Linked DNA regions of Macaca mulatta. The protein of the gene in region 3 interacts with the protein of the main gene of each other region in a pairwise test. Links are inferred from orthologs where the notes say so. Each region holds a gene or a part of one and is shown on either strand. Other genes may lie near its edges.

Region 1 (3,747 bases), on a different chromosome or scaffold from region 3:
TTTTATGGATGCATAAAAAAGTGATTTTCAGGGCCGGGCGCGGTGGCTCAAGCCTGTAATCCCAGCACTCTAGGAGGCCGAGACGGGCGGATCACGAGGTCAGGAGATCGAGACCATCCTGGCTAACACAGTGAAACCCCGTCTCTACTAAAAAATACAAAAAAACTAGCCGGGCGAGGTGGCGGGCGCCTGTAGTCCCAGCTACTCGGGAGGCTGAGGCAGGAGAATGGCGTGAACCCGGGAGGCGGAGTTTGCAGTGAGCTGAGATCCGGCCACTGCACTCCAGCCTGGGCAACAGAGCAAGACTCCGTCTCAAAAAAAAAAAAAAAAAAGTGATTTTCAGAGAAAGATGCATTCTTCCCACTTTTTATAAGACTGAGAAAATGACACTTGTCTGTGGCAAACTATTAAAATATTAGAATTAGGATACTATTGTTAGCAAAAGGGAAAACAATAATAATACTTAGAATACTTGGCTGGGTGCAGTGGCTCACACCTGTAATCCCAGCACTTTGGGAGACCGAGGCAGGTGGATCGCCTGAGCTCAGGAGTTCGAGACCAAGCTGGGCAACATGGTGAAACCTCGTCTCTACCAAAAATACAAAACCTTAGCTAGGCATAGTGGTGTATGCCTGTGGTCTCAGCTACTTGGGAGGCTGAAGTGGGAGGATCACTTGAACCTGGGAGGGGGAGGTTGCAGTGAGCCAAGATTGTGCCACTGCACTCCAACCTGGGTGGCAGAGTGAGACCCCGTCTCAAAAAAAAAGAAAAAAAATTAGAATACTCTTATTAGTTTGTATTTGAGATACTTTCAGAACACTAAAAGGAAAAGGTGGGGGCTGGTTGCGCCCTGCTGTATACACATTCACACACACACCATAGTGTCTGTATCTGGGCTTCTGTTGCCTGGAATTCTCTTCCTCTTTCCTCTTTCTTCTGTTTTCCTTTTTTTTCCACCTCTGACTTTGAGGCCCCCAGAGCCAGGCCCTTCAGTGGGCCGGAGCTTCAGAAGGTGGCTCCAAGGCCCTCGGACGGCCCCAGAGTCTCTTCCTCTGGGGTTGCCTAGGGAGGCGGCACCCTGGGCGGTTGATGCCTCCCTCAAGAGGCTTGGCCAGCAGCCAGGGGAGTTAAACCTCAGCGGAAGGGCTGGGCTACCGGGCTGGGCCCAGAGCGGGGCATTCGGAGGAGCTGCAGAATCAATCATCTGAGAACCTTGGAGGGTGGATGGTGCCCCTTTTCCAGATGAGAAAACTGAGGCTCGCAGGGGAGAAGTAGCTGCCTCTGGCGGCGTGGCTTCTGGCTGCAGGATGCTCGTGGAGTTCGTGGTGACCCTAGGCCTGTGTCTCGATCTCCTTTGCTGAACTTGAACAGGAAGATGGCAGTGGGGGCCAGTGGTCTAGAAGGAGATAAGATGGCCGGTGTGTGTGTGTTGGGGGTCTGTGTTTGTTAATCTGTCTGTCTGCACAGGGGTCTTTAGAAAACTGTTTAAAGACAGTTGTTCAACTAACCACATGTAGGTCTCATTGAATTCATTTGTGCCAAGTACCTTACTGCCTCTGTGTCAGGCTAGCAAATTTGGGTTCCAACAGGTGTAACTTGGTTCTTGGCGGGCTGGAGGTGGGGGGAGTGGGGTGTAACAAAAAAATCTCTACTAACACTGTGGTTTGTAAGCCACCAAACGTTAAACAGATATACAGCATATCTGTGCTATTAACGTTTTGTGAGGAGGGCTGGTGACGGTGGCTCAGGCCTGTAAATCCTAGCACTTTGGGAGGCTGAAGCAGGTGGATTTCTTGAGCCCAGGAGTTTGACACCAACCTGGGCAACACGGTGAAAACCCATCTCTACAAAAAATTTAAAAGTAGCTGGGTCTGGTGGCACGCACCTGTAGTCCTAGCTACTTGGAGGATCGCTTGAGTCCAGGAGTTCAAGGCTGCAGTGAGCTGTGATTGCACCACTGTACTCCAGCCTGGGCGACTGAGCCAGACCCTATCTCTAAAAGTAAATAAATAAATAAACATGTCGTGAGGGGGATGATAATTAGGGAAACCACGTCTACAGTGGCTCCCTGATGTGAGTTGGAGTAGATGATGGAAAGAGGTTGGAAGGTGTCAGCTGTCTAACGTGGTGTGAAAAGTCTGAAGACAGCACGTGCTGTGCAGTGCTATGCACGTCCCCCTGCCTCAGTCACATGTCCTCTTCTGCAGAGGCATTTAGTGAGGCCCCTGGGGATGCCAGGAGAGCTCCTGCCCTCCGAAAACTTCTGGTCTGGTGGGGGCAGCAGAGCAGACAGCCACTGTGGCTGCCAGCCACCGGGACAAGCATTTCGAGAGGTGTGTGCCTGCCTGTCGGCTAAATCCTGGGCCTGTGGCCTGATCAGCAAGACAGCTGTAGTTCTTGTATTCTGGAAGTTTAGGAGTCAATGTGAATACATTTTTAGAAAGTAAATGAACAGCAGAAATGATGTAAACACGGGAGGTGACTAATCATGCCTGGGGCAATCTGGAAAGGCTTCTGGGAGGACTTGGCATTTCCCTGGCCCTCTTCAACCCACAACAACTCCATAAAAAGCGGGGGCTACCGTTGTCCTTGTATTCCAGCTAAGGAACCCACAACTCAGAGAGGTGAGGTGAGTTGCCCAAGGTCACACAGCTTCTAAGGGACAGAGCTGGGATTGACCTGGTTTGATGTGACTCCAGGTCAGGGCAGGGCGAGGTGTGTCCTGTCTACCCAGACTCAGATCTGCTGCCTGTGCTTCAGTTATCTGGGGGCTTTCCTTCTCTTGGTGACTACTTGACCCAAACCCTGAGATGCTCAGTCTTTTGAATTTTAACATTCCAAGATCCTGCCTGCTCTGATTCCCAGTTTCAGGATTCTCAGTGCAAGGTTCCCAGCAACGTGGAGCCCCCCGAGGATCTTTCCTGAGTCGCTCAGGACGGCCACACGGCGGGGTCTCTGGAGCTGGAGTCTGGGCTCCCTGCAGCCCGCTCCTCCACACAGCCTAGATGCGGCCCACATGGGGTCTAGATGGCGCCTGGGCCAGAAGCAGCCTGGTTTTAGGGCCAAAGAGGCAAAACGAGCAGTCTCTGACCTACTCCGTTAGGCAGGTGTTGAGACAAGTAGGATGTGGCCACTGGAGACCCCTCTGTCGGGGCCCTGCCCTGGCCCTCTACTGTGGGACTGTTTTTTTTGCCTTCCGGCGAGAGGAGAGGTGGAAGGTGGGGCCTGGGAGCGACCCCGCCGCTCTGGGCCTTGCTTGCTGATCGGTGTGATGGCACCGTTAGAGCCAGCGGACACAGGCTGAGGAGGACCGAGGTCAGCAGCCAGTGAGACGAGGAAGTCATCCCTCCACGGGAGGGGCTTCTGCATATGCCATTTTTGTTGTTGTTTAATACATTTACTCTAGCAAATGTGAAGGAGGCGTTATGCTGCCTGCCACACACAGTAAGCAAACTCTGCTCCTCCCCGTTCTACCTGCGTGGCCTCAGCTGAGACAAGATCTCTCGGAGCCTCAGGTTTTCTTTTATTTCATTAAAAAAAATATGTCTTTTTTTTTTTTCTTAGAGACAGGGTCTTACTCTGTCACCCAGGCTGGAGTGCAGTGGTGTGATCATAGCTCACTGCAGCCTTGACCTGGGCTCAAGCCATCCTCTGCCCTCAGCCTCCTGAGTAGCTGGGATGACAGGCATGCACCAGCATACCTGACTAATGTTTAATTTTTTTGTAGAGACGGGGTCTCACTATGTT
Region 2 (3,647 bases), on a different chromosome or scaffold from region 3:
TGACCCAAAGAAATCTGTTTGTAATATCTGGTATGTTTCTTTCTAGATGCATGTAATGAGGACCACTCTATACGTACTTTTGAAACCTGTTTTTTTCACTTAACATCATTGCGATCATTCCCTCCTATTACTAGAATGCTTCGACATTTTCTTTTTTTTTTTTGAGGCGGAGTCTTGCTCTGTCGCCCAGGCTGGAGTGCAGTGGCGCGATCTCGGCTCACTGCAAGCTCCGCCTCCCGGGTTCCCGCCATTCTGCCTCAGCCTCCCGAGTAGCTGGGACTACAGGCGCCGCCACCACGCCCGGCTAATTTTTTTGTATTTTTAGTGGAGACGGGGTTTCATTGTGTTAGCCAGGATGGTCTCGATCTCCTGACCTCGTGATCCGCCCATCTCGGCCTCCCAAAGTGCTGGGATTACAGGCTTGAGCCACCGCGCCCGGCCTCGACATTTTCTTTCTATAAGATATTACATGTTATGACCATACCACTACATCCCACCCCTAACCCTGGCTGCATGCACTTACCCGCTTAACTGCCAGCGTGGCGATGCCCAGCATGGCTGCTCCACCCACCCCCAGCACCAGCCGGGCATTGGAGAGCACAAAGTCAATGGCCGTGCCAATGCCATTGTCATCCTTCTTGCCTTTGCGCTCACCAGCGCCTGCCATTGCTCATCTGAGAATGAAGATAGAACACGGCCGTTAAGTACTGGGACCCCAAGAACCTCCCTCCCTCAACAACCCAAACCCCAACAAGTACAGGGTACTCTGTGAGTTCCAGCAACCCAAATCCTCTTGCCTCCAGCACTGTATGCTTTAGGGTCTAGAAGGAGCTACAGTGTCCCATGATAGATCAGGATGCAAGGAGAAGAGACGGATCCTGGGTACTGTAGGAAAACCTTCCCCAAGCTAGTGAGATTAAGAAAACATTAAGCTCAGTGTCAATCCTTTTTCATATTACAATGAAGTACCCCACATGCAAAACAACCCTCTCTCTACCCCTTCCCAATGTGATAACGCAGGTCTCTCTACCCCTTCCCAATGTGATAACGCAGGTCTCTCTACCCCTTCACAGGGGTGATAACGCAGGTCTCTCTACCCCTTCCCAATGTGATAACGCAGGTCTCTCTACCCCTTCCCAATGTGATAACGCGGGTCTCTCTACCCCTTCCCAATGTGATACCGCGGGTCTCTCTACCCCTTCCCAATGTGATAACGCGGGTCTCTCTACCCCTTCCCAATGTGATAACGCGGGTCTCTCTACCCCTTCACAGGGGTGATAACGCGGGTCTCTCTACCCCTTCCCAATGTGATAACGCAGGTCTCTCTACCCCTTCCCAATGTGATAACGCAGGTCTCTCTACCCCTTCCCAATGTGATAACGCGGGTCTCTCTACCCCTTCCCAATGTGGTAACACGGGTCTCTCTACCCCTTCCCAATGTGATAACGCGGGTCTCTCTACCCCTTCACAGGGGTGATAACGCAGGTCTCTCTACCCCTTCCCAATGTGATAACGCAGGTCTCTCTACCTCTTCCCAATGTGATAACGCAGGTCTCTCTACCCCTTCCCAATGTGATAACGCAGGTCTCTCTACCCCTTCCCAATGTGATAACGCAAGTCTCTCTACCCCTTCCCAATGTGATAACACGGGTCTCTCTACCCCTTCCCAATGTGATAACGCGGGTCTCTCTACCCCTTCACAGGGGTGATAACGCAGGTCTCTCTACCCCTTCCCAATGTGATAATGCAGGTCTCTCTACCCCTTCCCAATGTGATAACGCAGGTCTCTCTACCCCTTCCCAATGTGATAACGCAGGTCTCTCTACCCCTTCCCAATGTGATAACGCGGGTCCCCATCTCTTAAAAATAAAAACAAAAAACAAAATGGGCCGGGCACGGTGGCTCACACCTGTAATCCCAGCACTTTGGGAGGCCGAAGTGAGCGGATCACCTGAGGTCAGCAGTTCAAGACAAGCCTAGTCAACATGGAGAAACCCCGTCACTACTAAAAATACAAAATTAGCCGGATGTGATGGCGCACTCCTGTAATCACAGCTTCTCAGGAGGCCGAGGCAGAAGAATCCCTTGAACCTGGAAGGCCTTTGCAGTGAGCCAAGATCACACTATTGCACTCTAGCCTGGGCAACAAGAGCGAAACTCCACCTCAAAAACAAAAACGAAATGACACAATGATCTCCAGAACTCAGGACTCCCCACTCCTTGTATGATGCTTTTTCTACTGTACCATGCTCACCCTTACCCAAATCAAATCGGCCCTTATTCTATCTACTTTCTGCAAACCAAACACAAAACAACATGTACCAAACACCCTGCACATGTAACTGGAACTACACATCCATATGTGAGAAAGGTCCCTCCATGGACCCTCCTACTTGACAAATGCTTTGTTTCTTGAGAAAAGTGGGCAGCAGGGACTATAAAAGCTTAGGTGAGGCCGGGCGCGGTGGCTCAAGCCTGTAATCCCAGCACTTTGGGAGGCCGAGACGGGCGGATCACGAGGTCAGGAGATCGAGACCATCCTGGCTAACACGGTGAAACCCCGTCTCTACTAAAAAAATACAAAAAACTAGCCGGGCGAGGTGGCGGGCGCCTGTAGTCCCAGCTACTCGGGAGGCTGAGGCAGGAGAATGGCGTAAACCCGGGAGGCGGAGCTTGCAGTGAGCTGAGATCCGGCCACTGCACTCCAGCCTGGGCGACAGAACGAGACTCTGTCTCAAAAAAAAAAAAAAAAAAGCTTAGGTGAGACTGGTATCCTGGGAGATAAAAACACAAAGGACACTGCAGACTTGACTGCTAACTGGAAAACAAAACACCCATCTGCTCGATTACACTTAGAAGAGGAACTAAAAATGTGGTCACCTGAAAGGAGTACTTGGGCACCACAGCGAAGAGGCTGGCCTCCAGCGCAGTGCTCAGGCCAGTGCTGCTCCCGGCTGGAGGGGAGTCTTCCTGACTGCAGCAGCAGCAGTCCCCAGATAAGCCCATTCCCGTGGAGTTAGAACCCTGGGCCTGAGCCGGGGCAAGGATGACAGCGTGGTTCAGATTGGAATACCTGCCACTCTCCTCTATAATATCCCGTATCCTTCACACCAGGAATGACATAAGGGAAACCAAAGTCGGATACCATTTAGTGTCCCAGAATGGGAGGACATCAAGAGACAGGATCCGCTGGGCGCGGTGGCTCACACCTGTAATCCCAGCACTTTGAGAGGCCAAGGCGGGTGGATCACAAGGTCAGAAGTTCGAGACCAGCCTGGCCAACATAGTGAAACCCCGTCTCTACTAAAAATACAAAAAATTAGCCAGGCATGGTGGCCGAGGCAGGAGAATTGCCATTGCACTCCAGTCTGGGCGACAGAGCAGGACTTTGTCTCGAGGAAAAAAAAAAGGATCACTAGGGATTATCTTCCATGTAAAATAACATTCCTTCTAATACCATGTTACAACTGGGTATTGCCAGCTTCCGCATATTATGCTCCTGCCTCTACCTCCCTGAAAAACAAAGAAATATTTCTGACTCTATTATTCCAGCAATTGAGTTAACTAAGAGTCACTGTCAAGCCCAAAAATATTTTTTCCCTAACTAGAGTTCACACCTTGGGGGTACTTTCCTTTTCTCTACCATT
Region 3 (3,481 bases):
GGGAATTGGGGGTTGAGGAAGCACAGGCTTTGGCAGGAATAAAGATGAGTGAGCCAGACAAGGCTATTGGAATCCTCACCCCAGAACCAAAGGGGTCAGCCCTGGACACTTCACCCAGGGTGTGGCATCTTCTTACTCCTGTTTCCAGATCTCAGAGAGGTGAGGACCTTGTTCTCAGAGGGTGACTCGGGTCAACATAGGGACCCCCATCTGGTCTAAAGACAGAGCAGTCCTACGATCTGCCATGCATTTGGGTGAGGAACATGAGGGAGGATTGAGGATACCCCAGGGCCAGAACACTGACAGAGACCGCACAGAAATCAGCTCTGCCCCTGCTGTCACCCCAGAGAGCATGGGCTGGGTCATCTGCCAAGGTCCCTCTCTTATCTTGGGATCATTGATGTCAGGGAGGGGGAGGCCTTGATCTGAGAAGGCTTCACTCACGTCAGTAGAGGGAGAGTCCCAGGCCCTGCCAGGAGTCAAGGTGAGGACCAAACAGGCGCCTCACCCAGGACACATTAATTCCAATGAATTTTGATATCTCTTGCTGTCCTTCCCCGAGGACCTAGGCCCGAGTGGCCAGATGTGGGTCCCCTCCTGTCTTTCTGTTCCTTATCATGGATGTGAGCTCTTTATTTGGATTTCTCAGACCAGCAAAAGGGTGGGATCCAGGTCCTGCCAGGAAAAATGCAAGGGCCCTGCGTGAGAACAGAGGGGATCATCCACCGCATGAGAGTGGGGATGTCACAGAGTCCAGCCCACCCTCCTAATAGCACTGAGGGCCCAGGGCTGTGCTTGCAGTCTGCACCCTGAGGGCCCGTGGATTCCTCTTCCAGGAGCTCCAAGAACCAGGCAGTGAGGCCTTGGTTTGAGACAGTGTCCTCAGATCACAGAGCAGAGGACGCACAGGCTGTGCCAGCAGTCAACGTTTGCCCTGAATGCACACCAAGGGCCCCGCCTGCCGCAGGACACATGGAACTCCACAGAGTCTGGCCTCACCTCCCTACCGTCAGTCCTGTAGAATCGACCTCTGCTGGCCGGCTGTACCCTGAGTGCCCTCTCACTTCCTCCTTCAGGTTTTCAGGGGACAGGCCAACCTGGAGGACAGGATTCCCTGGAGGCCACAGAGGAGCACCAAGGAGAAGATCTGTAAGTAGGCCTTTGTTAGAGTCTCCAAGGTTCAGTTCTCAGCTGAGGCCTCTCACACACTCCCTCTCTCTCCAGGCCCGTGGGTCTTCATTGCCCAGCTCCTGTACACTCCTGCCTGCTGCCCTGACCAGAGTCATCATGTCTCTTGAGCAGAGGAGTCTGCACTACAAGCCTGAGGAAGCCCTTGAGGCCCAACAAGAGGCCCTGGGGCTGGTGTGTGTGCAGGCTGCCGCCGCCTCCTCCTCTCCTCTGGTCCTGGGCACCCTGGAGGAGGTGCCTACTGCTGGGTCAACAGATCCCCCCCAGACTCCTCAGGGAGCCTCCGCCTTTCCCACTACCATCAACTTCCCTCGCTGGAGGCAACCCAATGAGAGTTCCAGCAGCCATGAAGAAGAGGGGCCAAGCACCTCGCGTGTCCTGGAGTCCTTGTTCCGAGCAGTACTCACTAAGAAGGTGGCTGATTTGGTTCGTTTTCTGCTCCTCAAGTATCGAGCCAGGGAGCCGGTCACAAAGGCAGAAATGCTGGAGAGAGTCATCAAAAATTACAAGCACTGCTTTCCTGTGATCTTCGGCAAAGCCTCTGAGTCCTTGCAACTGGTCTTTGGCATTGACGTGAAGGAAGCAGACTCCACCGGCCACTCCTATGTCCTTGTCACCTGCCTGGGGCTCTCCTATGACGGCCTGCTGGGTGATAATCAGATCATGCCCAAGACAGGCTTCCTGATAATCATCCTGGTTATGATTGCAATGGAGGGCGGCCGTGCTCCTGAGGAGGAAATCTGGGAAGAGCTGAATGTGATGGAGGTATATGATGGGAGGGAGCACAGTGCCTATGGGGAGCCCAGGAAGCTGCTCACCCAAGATTTGGTGCAGGAAAAGTACCTGGAGTACCGGCAGGTGCCCTACAGTGATCCTGCACGCTATGAGTTCCTGTGGGGTCCAAGGGCCCTCACTGAAACCAGCTATGTGAAAGTCCTTGAGTATGTGATCAAGGTCAGTGCAAGAGTTCGCTTTTTCTTCCCATCCCTGCGTGAAGCAGCTTTGAGACAGGAGGGAGCAGCTTTGAGAGAGGATGAAGAGGGAGTCTGAGCATGAGTTGCAGCCAAGGCCAGTGGGAGGGGGGCTGGGCTAGTGCACCTTCAAGGACCGTGTCCAGCAGCTTTCCCTGCCTCGTGTGATGTGAGGCCCATTCTTCACTCTGTTTGAAGAGAGCAGTCAGCATTCTCAGTAGTAGGTTTCTGTTCTATTGGATGACTTGGAGATTTATCTTTGTTCTCTTTTGGAATTGTTCAAGTGTTCCTTTTAAGGAATGGTTGAATGAACTTCAGCATCCAAGTTTATGAATGACAGTAGTCACACATAGTGCCGTGTATATAGTTGAGTAGTAAGAGTCTTGTGTTTCATTCAGATTGGGAAATCCATTCTATTTTGTGAATTGGGATAATAACAGCAGTGGAATAAGTATTTACTTAGAAATGTGAAAAATGAGCAGTAAAATAGATGAGATAAAGAACTAAAGAAATTAAGAGATAGTCAATTCTTTTTTTTTTTTTTTTTTTTTTTTTTTTTTTTTGAGACGGAGTCTCGCTCTGTCGCCCAGGCTGGAGTGCAGTGGCGCGATCTCGGCTCACTGCAAGCTCCGCCTCCCGGGTTCACGCCATTCTCCTGCCTCAGCCTCCTGAGTAGCTGGGACTACAGGCGCCCACAACCGCGCCCGGCTAATTTTTTGTATTTTTAGTAGAGACGGGGTTTCACCGTGGTCTCGATCTCCTGACCTTGTGATCCGCCCGCCTCGGCCCCCCAAAGTGCTGGGATTGCAGGCGTGAGCCACCGCGCCCGGCCGAGATAGTCAATTCTTGCCTTATACCTCAGTCTATTCTGTAACATTTTAAAAGATATATGCATACCTGGATTTCCTTGGCTGCTTTGAGAATGTAGGAGAAATTAAATCTGAATAAAGAATTCTTCCTGTTCACTGGCTCCTTTCTTCTCCATGCACTGAGCAGCTGCTTTTTGGAAGGCCCTGAGTTAGTAGTGGAGATGCTAAGGTAAGCCAGACTCATGCCTACCCATAGGGTTGTAGAGTCTAAGAGCTGCAGTCACGCAATCAAGGTGGCAAGATGTCCTCTGAAGATGTAGAGGAAAAGTAAGAGAGAGTGAGGGTGTGGGGCTCCAGGTGAGAGTGGTAGAGTGTAAATGTCCTGAGCTGGGGCATTTTGGGCTTTGGGAAACTGCAGTTCCTTCTGCGGGAGCTGATTGTAAGGATCCTGGGTGGATCCAGGGCCAGATTCTCAGACGGTGAGAGAAAAGCCTGAGTTGGAAAGCTGCTCTG

The links.
Region 1: the proteins of melanoma-associated antigen 1 (region 3) and SELPLG interact in a two-hybrid assay, tested with the Homo sapiens proteins (2 studies listed by BioGRID). The two-hybrid records come from large-scale screens. The link is inferred for Macaca mulatta from reciprocal best matches to the Homo sapiens genes MAGEA1 and SELPLG.
Region 2: the proteins of melanoma-associated antigen 1 (region 3) and MIEF1 interact in binary tests that used the Homo sapiens proteins (3 or more experiments, as listed by UniProt). The two-hybrid records come from large-scale screens. The link is inferred for Macaca mulatta from reciprocal best matches to the Homo sapiens genes MAGEA1 and MIEF1.

What each region holds. Positions count from the first base shown.
Region 1 is NC_133416.1:115,765,586-115,769,332, reverse strand, and holds the start of SELPLG (P-selectin glycoprotein ligand 1), read left to right. Parts: upstream 1-1,192; 5' UTR 1,193-1,375; coding exon 1,376-1,418; intron 1,419-3,747. UniProt on the Homo sapiens protein: A SLe(x)-type proteoglycan, which through high affinity, calcium-dependent interactions with E-, P- and L-selectins, mediates rapid rolling of leukocytes over vascular surfaces during the initial steps in inflammation.
Region 2 is NC_133415.1:12,032,929-12,036,575, forward strand, and holds part of MIEF1 (mitochondrial dynamics protein MIEF1), read right to left. Parts: intron 675-3,647; 5' UTR 668-674; coding exon 524-667; exon of another isoform or gene 485-523; intron 305-484; exon of another isoform or gene 147-304; intron 1-146. UniProt on the Homo sapiens protein: Mitochondrial outer membrane protein which regulates mitochondrial fission/fusion dynamics.
Region 3 is NC_133426.1:159,459,713-159,463,193, reverse strand, and holds melanoma-associated antigen 1, read left to right. Parts: upstream 1-1,233; 5' UTR 1,234-1,287; coding exon 1,288-2,238; 3' UTR 2,239-2,951; downstream 2,952-3,481.